2 linked regions of the Struthio camelus genome follow. The protein of the gene in region 1 binds, or shares a complex with, the protein of each later gene. Links are inferred from orthologs where the notes say so. Each region holds a gene or a part of one and is shown in the gene's direction. Other genes may lie near its edges.

The links.
Region 2: MYBBP1A (region 1) and DEK share a complex: the UniProt entries of both Homo sapiens proteins name them as parts of the B-WICH complex. The link is inferred for Struthio camelus from reciprocal best matches to the Homo sapiens genes MYBBP1A and DEK.

What each region holds. Positions count from the first base shown.
Region 1 is NC_090957.1:12,811,037-12,818,793, forward strand, and holds the start of MYBBP1A (myb-binding protein 1A), read left to right. Parts: upstream 1-4,740; 5' UTR 4,741-4,753; coding exon 4,754-4,924; intron 4,925-4,999; coding exon 5,000-5,095; intron 5,096-5,333; coding exon 5,334-5,417; intron 5,418-5,805; coding exon 5,806-5,880; intron 5,881-6,577; coding exon 6,578-6,685; intron 6,686-7,757. Other genes in the region: EIF4H (eukaryotic translation initiation factor 4H), read right to left, coding at 1,108-1,166. UniProt on the Homo sapiens protein: May activate or repress transcription via interactions with sequence specific DNA-binding proteins. Repression may be mediated at least in part by histone deacetylase activity (HDAC activity).
Region 2 is NC_090943.1:97,667,270-97,674,842, forward strand, and holds the start of DEK (protein DEK), read left to right. Parts: upstream 1-4,558; 5' UTR 4,559-5,089; intron 5,090-6,928; 5' UTR 6,929-6,939; coding exon 6,940-7,075; intron 7,076-7,573. UniProt on the Homo sapiens protein: Involved in chromatin organization.

The sequences.
Region 1 (7,757 bases):
CACTTGGGAAAGTATAGACAGACACTTGTACAGCAATCTCCAAATAAACTCAACTGCTACTTGCATCTTCCTAACCTGACTTCAAGCAAATTTAGTAATTGCTGCTTATTGTTTCTGTAGCCTTTAAAAAAACCCTGTAAGTGACAGGAGTTCACAGGGAGGAGCCCTTAACAGCTCAGTTCCAAACTTTCCCAAAGGTGCATCTAGCAGGCCACCCCAAAGGGTTTCTCTGCAGACTCAACCCCTTCATCCCCCCCCTCCCCCCACCATGTGCACTCTCCAGCTAAGAAGGAGAGATGATCCAGACCCCACTTTAAAGGGCCAGAGCCTTGGAGTCAACACCCGGGGCCCCGGCTAAGGCAGGAGCGCAGCTCACAGCTCTCCCTGATCGGAGGTACCGCAGAACCCTCCCATTTCCTCCCCGCCGCAGGCATCACAATGCGGCCGGCCCGGGGCCGCAGCAGCTCCCCCCGCCGCCGGGCACCTCGCCGTGCGGAGCTCGGCCCACCAGAAGCGGGGGCTCTGGCCACCCTGCCGCCCTTCGCGGGAAGCTCCCTCCTCCCCTCTCCCGGTCTGTCCCTGCAGGGGCTCCTCACGGCTCTGCCCACCTTGGCTCCGTCCCAGCACCTCCCTAAATCCCCCCTCCGTGCGCCTCTCGACCGGCGGGAACACAGCGACACCCATCCTCCCGCCTCTTCCCGGCGCTCCCCAGCCGCCAGGCCCTAAACCTTGCGGCACTCGCCCGCCGGAGCGAGGAGACGGCCCTACCCCTTCCCGGGGCACGGCAGCCGCCTCCTCGCCTCACAAAGCGGGGCCTCCAAGGCCGCAGGGAAATGCGCCCCGCCGGGCTCACCCCACCCCCCGGGGAGGGGGGGGGAAGCGAAGGCGGCGGGGAGGAAGCCGGGCCCGGGCGGCTCCTGGCGGCGGCGCCCCCCCGCCATCTCCCCCAGGGGAAGGGGCAGGCTGGGCCCGGCCCGGCCGCGCCCCCTCCTCGCCCGGCTGGGGGGGAGCCGAGCGCCACTCCCGCCTCCTCCCCGGCTCCTCGCGGGGCCCCCAGCGCCGCCCCGCCCGCCGGGGCCCCAGCGCTGCCCGCGGCGCCGCGCTCACCCCCGGCCGCCGCCGAAGCTGCTGTAGGCCCGATCGTCGTAAGGATCAAAATCCGCCATCGCCACCTCAGCCTCCTCCCCGTGCGAGCGTGACAGGACCGGGCCCGCAGGACCCCGCGCCGCTTATATACGGCGGAGCGCGGGCCGGGGCTGTCCGTCGCGGTGCCTGTCTCCAGCTCCCCGCCCTGCCGGGGCTGCCCGCCCTGCTGCCTGTCGGAAAGTCTCCGCGCCCGGGCGCGCAGGGGGCCGCGCCCCGCCGCCGCCGCCGCTACCGCTACCGGCCCCGCCGCGCTGCGGCGGCGTCACAGGGCCCAGGCGGCGCCAGCGCAGCCCGGCCCGGCCCGGCCGCCCTTGTGCCGGGCGGCGGCGGCGGCGCGGGGCTGAGCCGCCGCGGAGGGTGGCTCGGCGGGAAGGGAGGCTCCGGCGCGGGGAGAGCGGCCCGGGCCGGGGTGTCAGCGGCCCCCGGGGCTGCGGCCTCGGGGCCTGCGCTGGGCCCGCCCGGGCTGCGGCGCTGCACCACGCAGGCCGGAGGAGCGGGGTGTGCTGCCGTGCAAGGCGCGCCCGGACCTGCGGCTCTAAAGCGTAGCTTCACTTTCTTAGTCTTCCAGTCACCGGCCTCTTTTGTGTCCCCAAAAGGGACTTGCTGTCACTTACGATACGATCAGAGACAGAGCAGTTTTCGTGCTCCGAGCGTTGTGTTTATTCTGCCGGCGCTCGCTGCTGGCCGGAGATGGAGATTTTGAAAGGGAAGGCAGCAAACGTCAGGCTTGGTAGCCGGCTCTGCGCAGCTTCTGCGTGGCGTCTGGAGAATCGCTCCATTTTCTTTTCTTTTTTTTTTTTTGTTGGGCAGGAAAGATAACAGGCGTAGCCAGAAGTTTCTTAGTGCCCATAAAAATACATCCTTTGCATTAACTGATTTTTTTTTCCCCTCGGCCGTTACTTCATGTTTTACAATAAAACCATAAGACGTACTGATTTTTCTGTGGTGACCAACTGTGCCAATAGGGCAGGTGCCCGGCCCCGCTGCTAGGCCACCGCACTTGGAAAGAGCCGAAGATAACAGCTTGCTCAGTGCCCGCATCCAGCCCGCCGGTGTTTTAAAGCGGCCCAGCACACGCAGCCAGAGCGCAGGACCGCGGGCGGGACTGCAGCCTGCGTGGCCCTGTGCGCCGACAGCGAGGTCCCGCTCCTGTCATCTGCGCCTTGACACCACCAGTTGCTCTTTCGGTGCTCTCTTTTAAACAAGACTAATTCTAAAAAATGATGGGAGCCCATCGCAGGGGGTGCAGCCTCAGCGCCCCCGGGGCTGGGAGCCACCGCTCGTCCCGCCTGAGCGAGGGGGGACATCGACGGTGGAGGTTCAGCTCAAGACACGTGCCGATGCCACCACCGGCCTTCGTCCTGTGCAGCGGCCCGAGAGGAAGGAGGGACGATTTTACAGTAGCGCTGGGGTTTTAAGCCTCTTCCCCGCACAACCCTGCTTTTCCCCACAGGGACGGGGCTGAAACAGTCCTGCCGAGCGGCTACTACGGAGGGCAGGACGCAGGGCAGGTGGAGCAGGGTGGGGGGAGCGTGTTGGATGGGGCAGGGTGAAGGAGGCCTGCGGGTGCCTGTCCTGCCAGGAGGATGGTGCTGAGGGGAGGATGGCTCTGAGGAGAGCGTGGAGCTGAGGGGAGGACGGAGCTGAGGAGAGTGTGGAGCTGAGGGGAGGATGGTGCTGAGGGGAGGATGGAGCTGAAGAGAGTGTGGAGCTGAGGGGAGGATGGCACTGAGGAGAGTGTGGAGCTGAGGGGAGTGTGGAGCTGAGGGGAGGATGGCGCTGAGGAGAGTGTGGAGCTGAGGGGAGGATGGCGCTGAGGAGAGTGTGGAGCTGAGGGGAGGATGGAGCTGAGGAGAGCGTGGAGCTGAGGGGAGGATGGCGCTGAGGAGAGCGTGGAGCTGAGGGGAGGATGGAGCTGAGGAGAGCGTGGAGCTGAGGAGAGCGTGGAGCTGAGGAGAGCGTGGAGCTGAGGAGAGCGTGGAGCTGAGGGGAGGATGGCGCTGAGGGGAGCATGGAGCTGAGGGGAGGATGGTGCTGAGGAGAGCGTGGAGCTGAGGGGAGGATGGAGCTGAGGAGAGCGTGGAGCTGAGGAGAGCGTGGAGCTGAGGGGAGGATGGCGCTGAGGGGAGCATGGAGCTGAGGAGAGGATGGTGCTGAGGGGAGGATGGCTCTGAGGAGAGCGTGGAGCTGAGGGGAGGACGGAGCTGAGGAGAGTGTGGAGCTGAGGGGAGGATGGTGCTGAGGGGAGGATGGAGCTGAAGAGAGTGTGGAGCTGAGGGGAGGATGGAGCTGAGGAGAGCGTGGAGCTGAGGAGAGCGTGGAGCTGAGGAGAGCGTGGAGCTGAGGGGAGCATGGAGCTGAGGGGAGGATGGCGCTGAGGGGAGGATGGCGCTGAGGAGAGTGTGGAGCTGAGGGGAGGATGGCGCTGAGGAGAGTGTGGAGCTGAGGGGAGGATGGAGCTGAGGAGAGCGTGGAGCTGAGGGGAGGATGGAGCTGAGGAGAGCGTGGAGCTGAGGGGAGGATGGAGCTGAGGAGAGCGTGGAGCTGAGGAGAGCGTGGAGCTGAGGGGAGGATGGAGCTGAGGGGAGGATGGAGCTGAGGAGAGCGTGGAGCTGAGGGGAGCGTGGAGCTGAGGGGAGGATGGCGCTGAGGGGAGCATGGAGCTGAGGGGAGGATGGCGCTGAGGAGAGCGTGGAGCTGAGGGGAGGATGGTGCTGAGGGGAGGATGGCTCTGAGGAGAGCGTGGAGCTGAGGGGAGGACGGAGCTGAGGAGAGTGTGGAGCTGAGGGGAGGATGGTGCTGAGGGGAGGATGGAGCTGAAGAGAGTGTGGAGCTGAGGGGAGGATGGCGCTGAGGAGAGTGTGGAGCTGAGGGGAGTGTGGAGCTGAGGGGAGCGTGGAGCTGAGGGGAGGATGGCGCTGAGGGGAGGATGGAGCTGAGGAGAGCGTGGAGCTGAGGGGAGGATGGCGCTGAGGGGAGGATGGAGCTGAGGAGAGTGTGGAGCTGAGGGGAGGGTGGAGCTGAGGAGAGTGTGGAGCTGAGGCGAGAATGGTGCTGAGGGGAGGATGGTGCTGAGGGGAGGATGGTGCTGAAGGGAGGATGGTGCTGAGGAGAGTGTGGAGCTGAGGGGAGGATGGAGCTGAGGGGAGGATGGCGCTGAGGGGAGGATGGCGCTGAGGAGAGTGTGGAGCTGAGGGGAGGATGGTGCTGAAGGGAGGATGGTGCTGAGGGGAGGATGGAGCTGAGGAGAGTGTGGAGCTGAGGGGAGGATGGAGCTGAGAGTGTGGAGCTGAGGAGAGCGTGGAGCTGAGGGGAGGATGGCGCTGAGGAGAGTGTGGAGCTGAGGGGAGGATGGAGCTGAGGAGAGCGTGGTCCTGCACGGAGGACGGCGCTGAGGGAAGGCTGTGGTGCTGAGCAGCCGAGGAGGCCGCGGTGAACAGGCCCGGCCAGGCGCAGCGACGCTGCCCCGGAAGGGGCGGGCCGGCAGCGGCGGCGACGGCCCCACGTGCGCGGCGGCGGCGGCATGGCGGAGCGGGAGCCCCGCGGCGGCGGCGGCGGCGGCATGGCGGAGCGGGAGCCCCGCGGCGGCGGCGGCGGCGGCGGCGGCATGGCGGAGCGGGAGCCCCGCGGCGGTGGCGTGGCGGGCGCCGACGCCCGCGGCGTGCTGCGGCAGGGCCGCGCCTTCCTCGACCTCTTCTGGGACATCGCCAAGCCCGAGCAGGAGGTGCGGCTGGCCGCCACCGAGAGCCTCCTGCGGCACCTGCGGGACGGCAGGAAGGTGAGGCCGGGGCCGGGGCCGGGAGCGGGGGCGCCGCTGGGAGAGGCGGAGGGCGAGCCTGGCTCTGTCTTGCAGGACGACGAGCTGAAGTACACCCTCAAGCGCCTGGTGGAGGGACTGGGGGCCACCCGCGAGGCGGCGCGGCCGGGCTTCAGCCTGGCCCTGGCGCAGGTCAGTGTTTCCGCGAGCTCGGGAGCGCGCCCGAAAGTCCTGTTAGGGCTTCTTAAACAGTGTCTTTATGTCTGACCAGTTCTTACCGTGACACGCGTTTTCCTGATGTGGGTGCGCTCTATTCTGGCCTCGTAAAGCAGCGCATCTCGTGTTCTGGTCGGCTCGGCTTTGGCTGAACCGCGTAAAGCGTCGCAGGACGTAAGGACTGCAAACTGTGCTGTCTCGCCCGTCTCCCCAGGTTTTGCAGGCTTTTGAGGAGATTCCGGTGTGCGGTGTGCTGGAACAGATAAAAGAAAAACACAATCTGGGAAAAGTGAAAAAGGTGAGTGGGCTCATAGCAGCATCGGCCAACAACTAGGTTAGATTAACTGTTCTCTGCTCTTTGAAGGTTTGACCTCGGGATACTGTAGCTTTTGGAGTTCTTCCTAAGACAAACGACTGTAACAGGACTTGAAATATTTGTAAAAACTGGAGGTTGATGACACTGTCATCTAGCCCTGTCTTAGCTGAGATTTGCCTGACTGTCTTAAGACACTGGTTCTTAAACATCGCGCAGGGGGGTGTTCTTGGTTGTGTTATCTTCATATGGAAGGACATTCAAGACCAGATCTTCCAGCCAGTTTGTCCTAGTAGTAGGAACTGTAGGTGAATGTGAGATCGAACCCAGCAGTGGGGGGGATTGCTACTCTTAATTTTTTTCCTTTTTCCAGAAACTTGTGAGAAATGCTGCTTTTGGAAACTTTTTTGGAGTTATGGCTCTGTTTCAATCAGGCCGGCTTGTTAAGGTAACGTTAGTATGGTTATGGTATTTGTCAGTAATGGTTCTGGAGTTGTCTTGAAATGCAGAGAGGATCTAGAGAGAAAGGCTGGCCCATTGGCTACTGCATGAGATGGGACTTTGGAGCATCAAGTCCAGTTCACTTCTTTTTGCCTTTTCCATAGGCTTTTTGTGCCTTTTAAATGTCTGTTCCTGATTCATAGCAGGGGTGTTACTTGGAAGAGTGTGGCAAGAATCAGTTGTGAGATGCTTTGATGCTCATGTAAAAGGGGTCATATGAATCCAGAAGTTAACAGTTGGTCACCAACAACTCAAGCTTCTTAGTAGAAAACTGTGGTATTATCAGCTGGAAGTCAAAGATGGGAAGAAAAGAAGGAAAAGGATGGTTAAGAAAACTTGCATGGGTGAAATAATAGAAAATCTGTTTTCTAGAAAATAGAAAAGCTTGGGGAGACTAGGTGGATGGATTAACTGATTACCAGAAATGTAAGAACTGTGTCAGATAGTCCCTACCTCGCCTGGAAGGGAGGGATCTTTTGTCACATGCGGTCAGAAAACACCGTATTGGGAAGAACTGAGTTGTATATCAAGAAGTGATAGTGTAGGCTTCTTATTGTAAGTAGACATGTGGGTCTCAGAGTGTATTATTACCTGAGCCTTCAGCTTACCCTTAGATATATATTCTCTATTTTTTGATTTCCCAGGACCAGAAAGCTCTGCTGGAGAGCATCCAGCTTCTCCAACAGTTGGCACATCACCAAGCACACCTCAGAGATCTCCCTGGAAAAACTCTTGTTGACATCCTTTCTGAGGTATAGACACAGTGTGTGTTGGGTGGGAAGTAGGACTTTGTTTAGGGGACTGCTTTTTCATTGGTTTGTTCATAGTTGAAAGTAAGAGGAGGGGTTATGGAAGAGTGCAGCAGCTATTTTCTGTATTTATCTGTGGGCAGATGCCTTTATTCTGCAAAAGATGCTCTAGTTTAGCTGAGTCTGCTTTCATCATGGACAAACCGTTATTCTTAGTTTTCCCAGTTGACTTGTTTGGGTGGCGCATTAGACCCTCTGCTCTCTTGGAGACAAATGTGCTGAAAACTCTGGACAAGAAAGCTGCTCGTTTGGGCACCCAGTTTCTAATTCGTTACTTGCGCCCAAGGCTGAATTTTGGGTGGTTGGGAGTGGAAGGGGTGTACGAACAGGGGGTACAGGAGGTCTGTACAGGTAGTAAAAAGAGAAAGTATTTGTTTATTTTCTTGGTTTGCATGGATATTATTGGTAGTCATGAAGACTAACAGCATTAAATCACAATTAAGTAATGCTTTATATGGAAATATTCCTGGTCATCTAATCTTGATGTTAAGTTTTAATATATTTTGAGTCTTATCTGTTAATAAATACAAATGAAAGCAATTTTTATACTTTTTCTATGTTATTGATGAAAACATTAGGTCCAGTTTCCTCGAAAACATTGAATGCAGTTGTTTACCAGTAAATCCCATTGAAATAGGTAGCTCTTTTTTTAAGTAATGCAATTGAAAGCTAATAGAAGGGTGTTTTGTCCTCCCACGTGCTTCATGACAGTACTGCCAGGAGCAGTCAGACTGCAACAGAGCAATTGCAGCTGGAGTCAGTGGACAGAACTGCTATTTAATGACAACAAGTTGTCCTTCTCCGCATGGTTAAACACCTGGGGCCCGTATGGCAATACTGGATACTAATTCTCTATTTAAATAATTTTTGGTTGCGTCATCTTGAAAAGAATTTCTAAAATTTCCAAAACAGCACAGGTTTTTAAAATATCTGCACTGTAGGGCATTTTATGAATGTACCGCAGAGCGAGCTAGTAAAACGCTGTCAGATGTTTCTTGCATGCTCTCTCATCTAC
Region 2 (7,573 bases), on another chromosome or scaffold:
GGGGGTGGAGAAAGAGAAGGGGGAAAAAAATCGCACTCTGAAAAGAAAAGCTTCTTGTCTCCTGGAAAATTGTCAGTTTGCATCACTTCGTGTCGACAAATTTTTATTATTAAGACCACCTTAACTTATCAGACTGCTACTAAGTTTTTTCAGATTTTTCTTTTTTGGTTTTTTTTCTTAAACGCAGGTTGCACTCATTACATTGCAATCTATTTCTCCCAGCTCAGCAGCTGGCAACCCACGAGTTTCACATTCTAGCATAACTCAGTGAAGAGCTCTAAGTGCAAAATTGTCTCCTCACAAAGTAACAATACCCTTGGAAATGTTTTTTAAAACGTGTAACTGTAAACATGTAACAAAACCTATAGACCTGAGAAATAGAAATGTATAGCCTCAAGCCTTAAAGTGTGGATGAATAGACAGTGTTTCTTTTTCTTAAGTGCAAGTTACATAACATGTACATAGTTAACTGGCACATACACGCACTATTCATTGCAAAACTAAGTCAGAAGTACCAGGAGGCTAGTAACTGTGTGAGCATTCATCCTAGGTCAAATTCTGTCCTTGTAGTAGCTACACTAAGGAAACCATCCTGCTAAATGTTCTTGAACAGAGCCGCACGTGGAGCCTTGAGATGAAAACCCTTTTAGTGCCTGCCTCTTCAAAGCTCAAATGTCAGTAGAGAAATGCAGAAGAGTTTCCAGTGCTACTACTTGTGAGAGCTAAGTTTCATCAGTCCAGAGTTCCGAGGTGGTAGCTCTGAATACTTCATATACAATGCAACAGCTGCTTAAGCTTTGACTGTACAACATACAAGCGTAGATGTTTTTAAACACACAAAGCAGTCATTTCCAAACCCTGCAGAATGTGATGCAACTTAACTTCATAGTAGCTGGCACGTTAGCAGATATCCCAACACAGATCAAGTTTGACAAAGTTCAGTGTTGTCATTCACACATACATGGAAGATGTGCCTTCATGTACTATTTTGACTCATTATCTATATCTGATGTTTCTTATTACGTAAGAATTGAGCTGAATCTTTCCATATACTTATCTTGAAATATGACCCATAAAAGATTTCTAATACTGGGTGAAATTGCTCACATCAATTCATATCAACAACTCATTTCATGTTTGTGAGAATTCCTATTTACAACAACAACTAACTCTTAAGGGCTTCTTAAGGGCAAGAAACAGATGACGAGTTCAGATGATGCAACAGTCTGCTAGTCCACAAACACCTAGATATGAAACAAAAAGGGGGACAAAGGATGTTGTCTGAACTGAGCAGTACCCGCTTCGGAAACACTTTGCAAATCAACTGTCTTTGTCATTCAAAACAGATGTAAATTATCTGGTACAAGTATGCAGTGAGTATTTGGAGACATTAAGTATAATTGTTACTAATCATACTATAAATTAACTACACAGTGCTCAAATAGTTTTCAATTTTCTCCTGTTCTGCAAGTTGTGTTAATTAGCTCAATTATCAGTTCATCTCTTGATTTCTGCTTTCTGCTAGTGATTATATCAAATTTAGATTCAAAAGCCATATAATGCTTCTAATGTTAATAAAGATGTACTTAGCATTTATACAGGACTTTTCTCAGCATTTCGCAGACAAGCCATTTTGACATTTCCAGGAAATATGCAACCACATTACTGTTTTATAGACAGAGAAGCTAAAGTGTATGTATATATGTGTACATATATACATACACATGCATGACTCTCATGAGGGCACAAAGCAACATTACCTATATTATTAAAAAGCAGCATCACATAATTTGTTGCTGTGGCTTTTCACTTTGTGAATAAAACTCCTAATATGAGTTACTAGGTACTTATTTTGATGCCGGCCACTTTCTCTGCTATCTACAGACAATCTTCTATAATCTTACTCACAGCAGATCTGCTAGACTCTGCACTGGTGGCAGGATCCTGCAGTAATCAGTCAGTTTGAAAACAAAATAAATGCAGTCCTGGGGGACTTTGTACACTCTGTGAAGCCTACAATTCTATTCCTAAAGGCTTCTCAAAAACCACTGTATGCTTCATGCCGAAAGCCAACACACAGTGTTAGCTAAACCACAACTCCGAAATGACTGAAAATATGTTTGCATTAATTAACAGATGGTGGTGATCGTGTTTGAGGTAGCTTTGGCTGGTGCACTGTAGCACAGAATACCAGCATATAATGCATCCTGAAACATGCCAGCTTCTGTCTTTTACAGCTCCTTCAGAGCACTTTTCACTATTTAATTCTGTCGAGTTAAAACGCCTAAGAACACACCCTTTGATATTTCAGAGCGACCCTAGGGTACCTCCAAGATAACTGTTTCATCGAAATAGAGATAGCTATCAAAAATAAGTAAGCGAGCATCCTGTCTGAATATAGGGTCTATGGTAGTAAAAGAGCAGACTCTCCCTGGTGGAATAAGAAGAGCAGGCTACAGTGAGCAGCTCCCGCATTAATTCCGAGGCCCTCTTTGAACCATTCATCCCTTTCTAATTGAGCCTTCCTCCAGAATCAACGTTTTTATTTTAAGTTGCATTTAGTACCACTCACTAGACTAATCTAAGATGTAAACACCTTAGATTATACAAACATTTTACAATAATCTAATTATCTTATTTAGGTCTTTCAAATCTCAGCTGAAGCTGAGAAATGAAGTTAACTGCATCAGGGTGTGTAGAGAGAAGACAGCAAGACAGAAGCATCAATACAGGGCAAGATCCCAAAACAGTGTATTGTTAATGTGCATTCCTAGTAATAGTAGAAATGATAAGATAAACCAGATTCAGTCTCTTTTCTTGAATCCAGTAATTTCCCTTTAATACATATCTGATTTTTTTTTAATTCTGAATTTGCCCCCTCCTTCTCTCAACCCCTAGCATTGTGAATTTTTTCTAAAAGCCTCCATATTGTCTCAGTTTTGTTTCGGAAATGGAACAACTGATTATCAAAATTTTTAACAATTTTAATTGAAACCGTTCCACAAATTTGAAAAAGTACCATTAAGAACAGATAGAGAAGGTTCCAAAAACAGAATCAAGAAAGGTTAGTTGTCATTCTTGCTGAAGTTCCACGAAAAGAAACCTGAGTCAATATATAGCTCACCTGCACTAAGAATTTATCAATTCCTAAAATATTGAATTAATTGGATGTTTGAGGGTGTACTCCCTACTGCAATGACATGTCTTCTCTAAAGGAATCCATGAAAACATTATCTTCTACTTCTCCCCCAAAAGCAGCCCTAGTGTCATATTGGTAGGACATTAATATAGCTAGTTTAACTAGGTAAATCATCTCCATTGAGTAAACATGTCCTTGTTTACAAGATAGGGTCTAATTTATCACCACAACCTAAAGCACACCCTTCAGATGTCTTCCGTCTTAATTCCAAACTAATCCAAACCTATCCATCTTGTAGAAAGTAGTCTGTTGTCTTCAAACATCTGTCTTGTGCCATTTGTGTAGCCTATGGCTTAATGATGAGATACTTCTGCCTCCTTATTGTATACTAACTTCAAGCTTTTCTGATTATGTATTGTAGTAAATAATTCACATTTTCCTCTTTAAGACCACTGCCATCTGTGATTTTACCAGCTAACTTCAAAAAAAGAATCTGCACTTCCATTGCTTAAAGTAGGGGTAATTAACATACATTCCCTGGACCTTCTTTTTTTATGGAAAATTTTCCCCATTCCAGAGTCTATTATTTCGTAGTACTTATTATTATTTCGTAGTACATTAGATTTCCCAGTTCTGCTGCCAACTCTACATTGAGTGCTATGTTGTATGCACATCTAAAAGGTCAATGTTCAGTTAAAAAACAGAATCATGTGGGTTTTTTTTTAAATCCTTTCACTTCTTACCCTTAACTGCTGTCCCACCCCCAAGGTAACAGCCACCCACCTACTAGACAAAAAGCTCCTGTCAGTACAACGTGGCCTCAAGACAGTCATCAGCACTGACTACTTCAGGCTACTTCTTTCTCCAGCATGTTTTCTGAGCGCTGCTAACTCCTGCTGAAGGCACGTTAACCTCAGTCAGGCCTCTTCTCTGGTCTGAACTGCCTGTCCTCAGCTCTGGCAGGCCACAGTGCGGGGAGCGGGACCAGCCCTCTGCCCCTCAGCACCATAGGGCACACGGCCCGGCTGCCCACCCCGTAATTTTAAACGGGCAAGGAGGAGACCTCCTTCTTCTGCCCCCGGGCCTCTGCTCCGCAGCCAGCCGCCTACCAACGGCCGCTTTCTCCCGTTGGCCGCCCGCCCCGCGCCCCAGCACCGCCGTCGTTGCCCTGCGCCCCACAGGCGCCCGGCGAGCCGCAGGCAAACGAGCTCGCCACAGCAGGGCGGGACCGCCAAGGCCTTCGCGTACACATGCGAGCGAGGACAGGGACAGGGACAAGGACAAGACAGGGGCAGGGCGGCAGCCCCCCTACCGCCTGCGGACACAACCCCGGCGGGGCGGGGCGGGGCGGGGCGGGGCGGGGCGGGGCGGGGCGGGGCGGGAGGTGGCGGTTGCACCACAGGCCCCGCCCTCCCCGCCGCCGAGCCAATGGCCCCGTGGCGGGGCAGGCGCGCGGCGGGGCGCGCGCGCTCTCTCTGACGTCACCCCGGAGGCCCGCACAGGCAGCCGCAGGTCACGCACATCCGCGCGCGCGCGCGCGCACACCCCTCCCCGTTCCCTGCGCGCGCACCCTTCCCTCGCGCGCTGCCCCCCCCCCGCCCCCACGCCGCCGGGGGCTGCGGGCGCTGATTGGCCGCCGCCTTCCCGCTTCCTTCTCCCCTTTCGAGAACCCGCCATTTTGAAAACCTTGTTGATTCCGGGAGAGAGAGAGAGAGAGAAAGAGAGAGAGAGAAAGAGAGTGGCCGCGGGACGCGGAGCGCGCGCGCCCGCTCGGGGCTGTGTGCCGCGTGCGAGGGCGCGAGCCAGCGCCCGCCCCGCCCCTCCTTCTCCAACCCCCCCCCCCCAACGCCGCCGCCGCCGCTTCCCTCCTCCGGTAACTGTCGCCTCTGGCTGCCGTTACTGCCGCGGCCGCGCCCGAAGAAGGAGCCAGAAGCCGGGGCTTGAGCTGAGGTGGGTCCCGCCGCCGTGGCGATAACGGCGCCAGAGGGGGCGCTCCCGCCCCTCGCGGCGGGCCGCGGCCCGGGCGGGCGGCCCGGCAGGCGGGGAGGGGGGTGGACGAGAAACGGGACCGCCCCGGGCCGGGGGCGCTTGTCACCTACCCGGGCCGCCTGCTTCCCCAGTCCGCCTCGGGGTGGCGGGCTGGGTTTCACCCCCGAGGTGTTAGTTCTGAGGGCCCGGCCCGGCCCTGCTGCGCGGCCCGGAGGCGGGAGGGCAGCCGCCCCCGTTAGCCTTGAGCGTCAGCTCCTCCGGGTAATAGCTACGGAGATCGCTTTCCCCGGCCTTCGGCTCGCCGGTCGGGAAGGCGAGGGGTGGAGGCAAGTCCATGTCTGAACAGTCCCGGGGAGGGTGGGAGGTGTGGCTGTGCACAAGTCACTTTCTCCCCTTGCGGGATACCCTGTCCTTATTTCTCCTTCTCGTGTGGCTGAAAGTATCCCTGGTTTGACTCTCTTTAAGGGTGGATCCCTGTGCGTTTTTTCCCTGAGCAAACAGGCCTTCAGTGACCTGGATGCTGAAAAGGCAAAAGTCTCTTACTCTCCTGTTTTCCTTCCCCGCCCCCACTGAAAGAGGGGGGGAAGGCAGTTTGTAGTACTTTGCTTACTTTTTCACTCGTGTAAAAGGGTAAAATTCACAGAGCAGAATCGTGAAGAAGTTGAATTACTCTTCCTGTGTCAAACTGACATACCGGCACCCCCCCTCCCCGAAGGAGAGGGTTTTTTTCAAGTCGTTTAACAAAGGAGAGTAAACTTTCTTTTTGCCCTTACTATTGGTATTGTAGCTCATGTTTTCTGTCATTTGGTGTGTTGCTCTTCTCTGACACCTGCTAATCTTGCTCCTGTGCAGTTGATTTGATTATTGTTTATTGAGTCTGAACTCCTGAACATGTATTGGTTTTAATGCTGGAACAAGGTGGTTAATCATGTGATTTCACACACACATTCCCTTCCCCTGGCTTATACAACCCATGCTGTGTTTTGTTCCAGACATGTAAATAGTGAAAGATTTTAAAAGCTGGAGTCATCTTAATATAAATAGATAGGCTTATTTTCCTTTGTTAGATAGGCATTCCCTCTGTCATTAGGGAAAGTAGGGGAAATGGCCCTCACCTAAATGAGATGTTTAACCTAACCTTTAAGCCACTTCGAATATTAAAAGACTCCTCTTAAATTTGCTAAGTATGAAGTGTGGTTTTGTTTTGCGTTTTTTTTTTGTAGACTTGCAGATTAAAACTAAAAAGCGTTTTCAACCCCTAGGATGCCATGCAGCTATTTGTACTCAGAAAGCAGTGTTAACTTTTCCATGAGTTGCTCTTTTTTTTTTTTTTTTTTCAGTTCCTATTTCCTGTGTAAATGTATAGTCTGTTAAATTGATTAGGAAACTTGCATGTACAGTTAACTGTGATCAGAAATAACTTCGGTTTGTAATGTGCTGCACTAAGATTGTAATATTTTAATACGTTACAGTTCTTAATAGATACAATATCAGTTGCTTTTAGGGTTGGGTGTTCCTGAATACTTCACAAAGCAAGCTTTAAGACTATTGCGTGTGGAAAGAACTGATAACCTCTTAAATTGTTCTCAAGCAGATTAGTTGCAGAATGGATGACAAAACTGTTGAAGAAATTTTGTGTATGCAGGATACTCATCTGTGGCTTAAAGAATGTGAGCAATCACAACAGGAGTACTATGACATGACTTCTACCATACAAAGGGATTTTTTAAAAAGGAAAATTCCTGTGCTGCTTACATATTATATTGTATTGTTGATGGTTTTACTGACTGCTTTTTATAGAACCAGACACCATGTCGTCTGTTGCTTCATCAAAAGAAGATACAATGTCATCTGAAAAAGCAGATGAGAAAGAACCTGAAACTGAGAACAAAGCTGAGGAAAGTGATGAGGAGGAAGAGGAGGAAGAGGAGGAGGAAGAAGAAAAAGGTACCTCTGTTTCTTCAGAATGATTTATCATTTTAAAAAAATGCCAGGCTTATTGAGTGCAGTCTCTGTGATCACAAAAAATTGTACAATTGTTGTTTAGGAGAGTCCACAGGACAGCTGTCTCATGGATCATAAATCACTTCCTAGTAGACTCTTAACAGAACAGACTTAGCCCTAGAAACCATAATGCTGATGTTCCTCAGAAAAGACTGAAGGAATTGCCAGCATCCTGGGTTCCTGCACTGGAGTGTGTTGTTTTTTTTTTTTTTTTTTTGGATAAACTCGTAGATAATTGTAAGAGGCAGAGTCTTATATTGAATTAGCTGTAGAAACATGCATATCCAAAAAGAATCCTTTTTTTTTTTCTAGTAGCACATTGAAATGATCCATGTTTGCAGAAGAGAGAAATTTTAAAAAGCTGTGAAGTAGTTTAGGAAGCAATACAGATGTCTTTATTTGCTTAACTACTGTAAGTTATTTTACTGGGCTGCACTACTT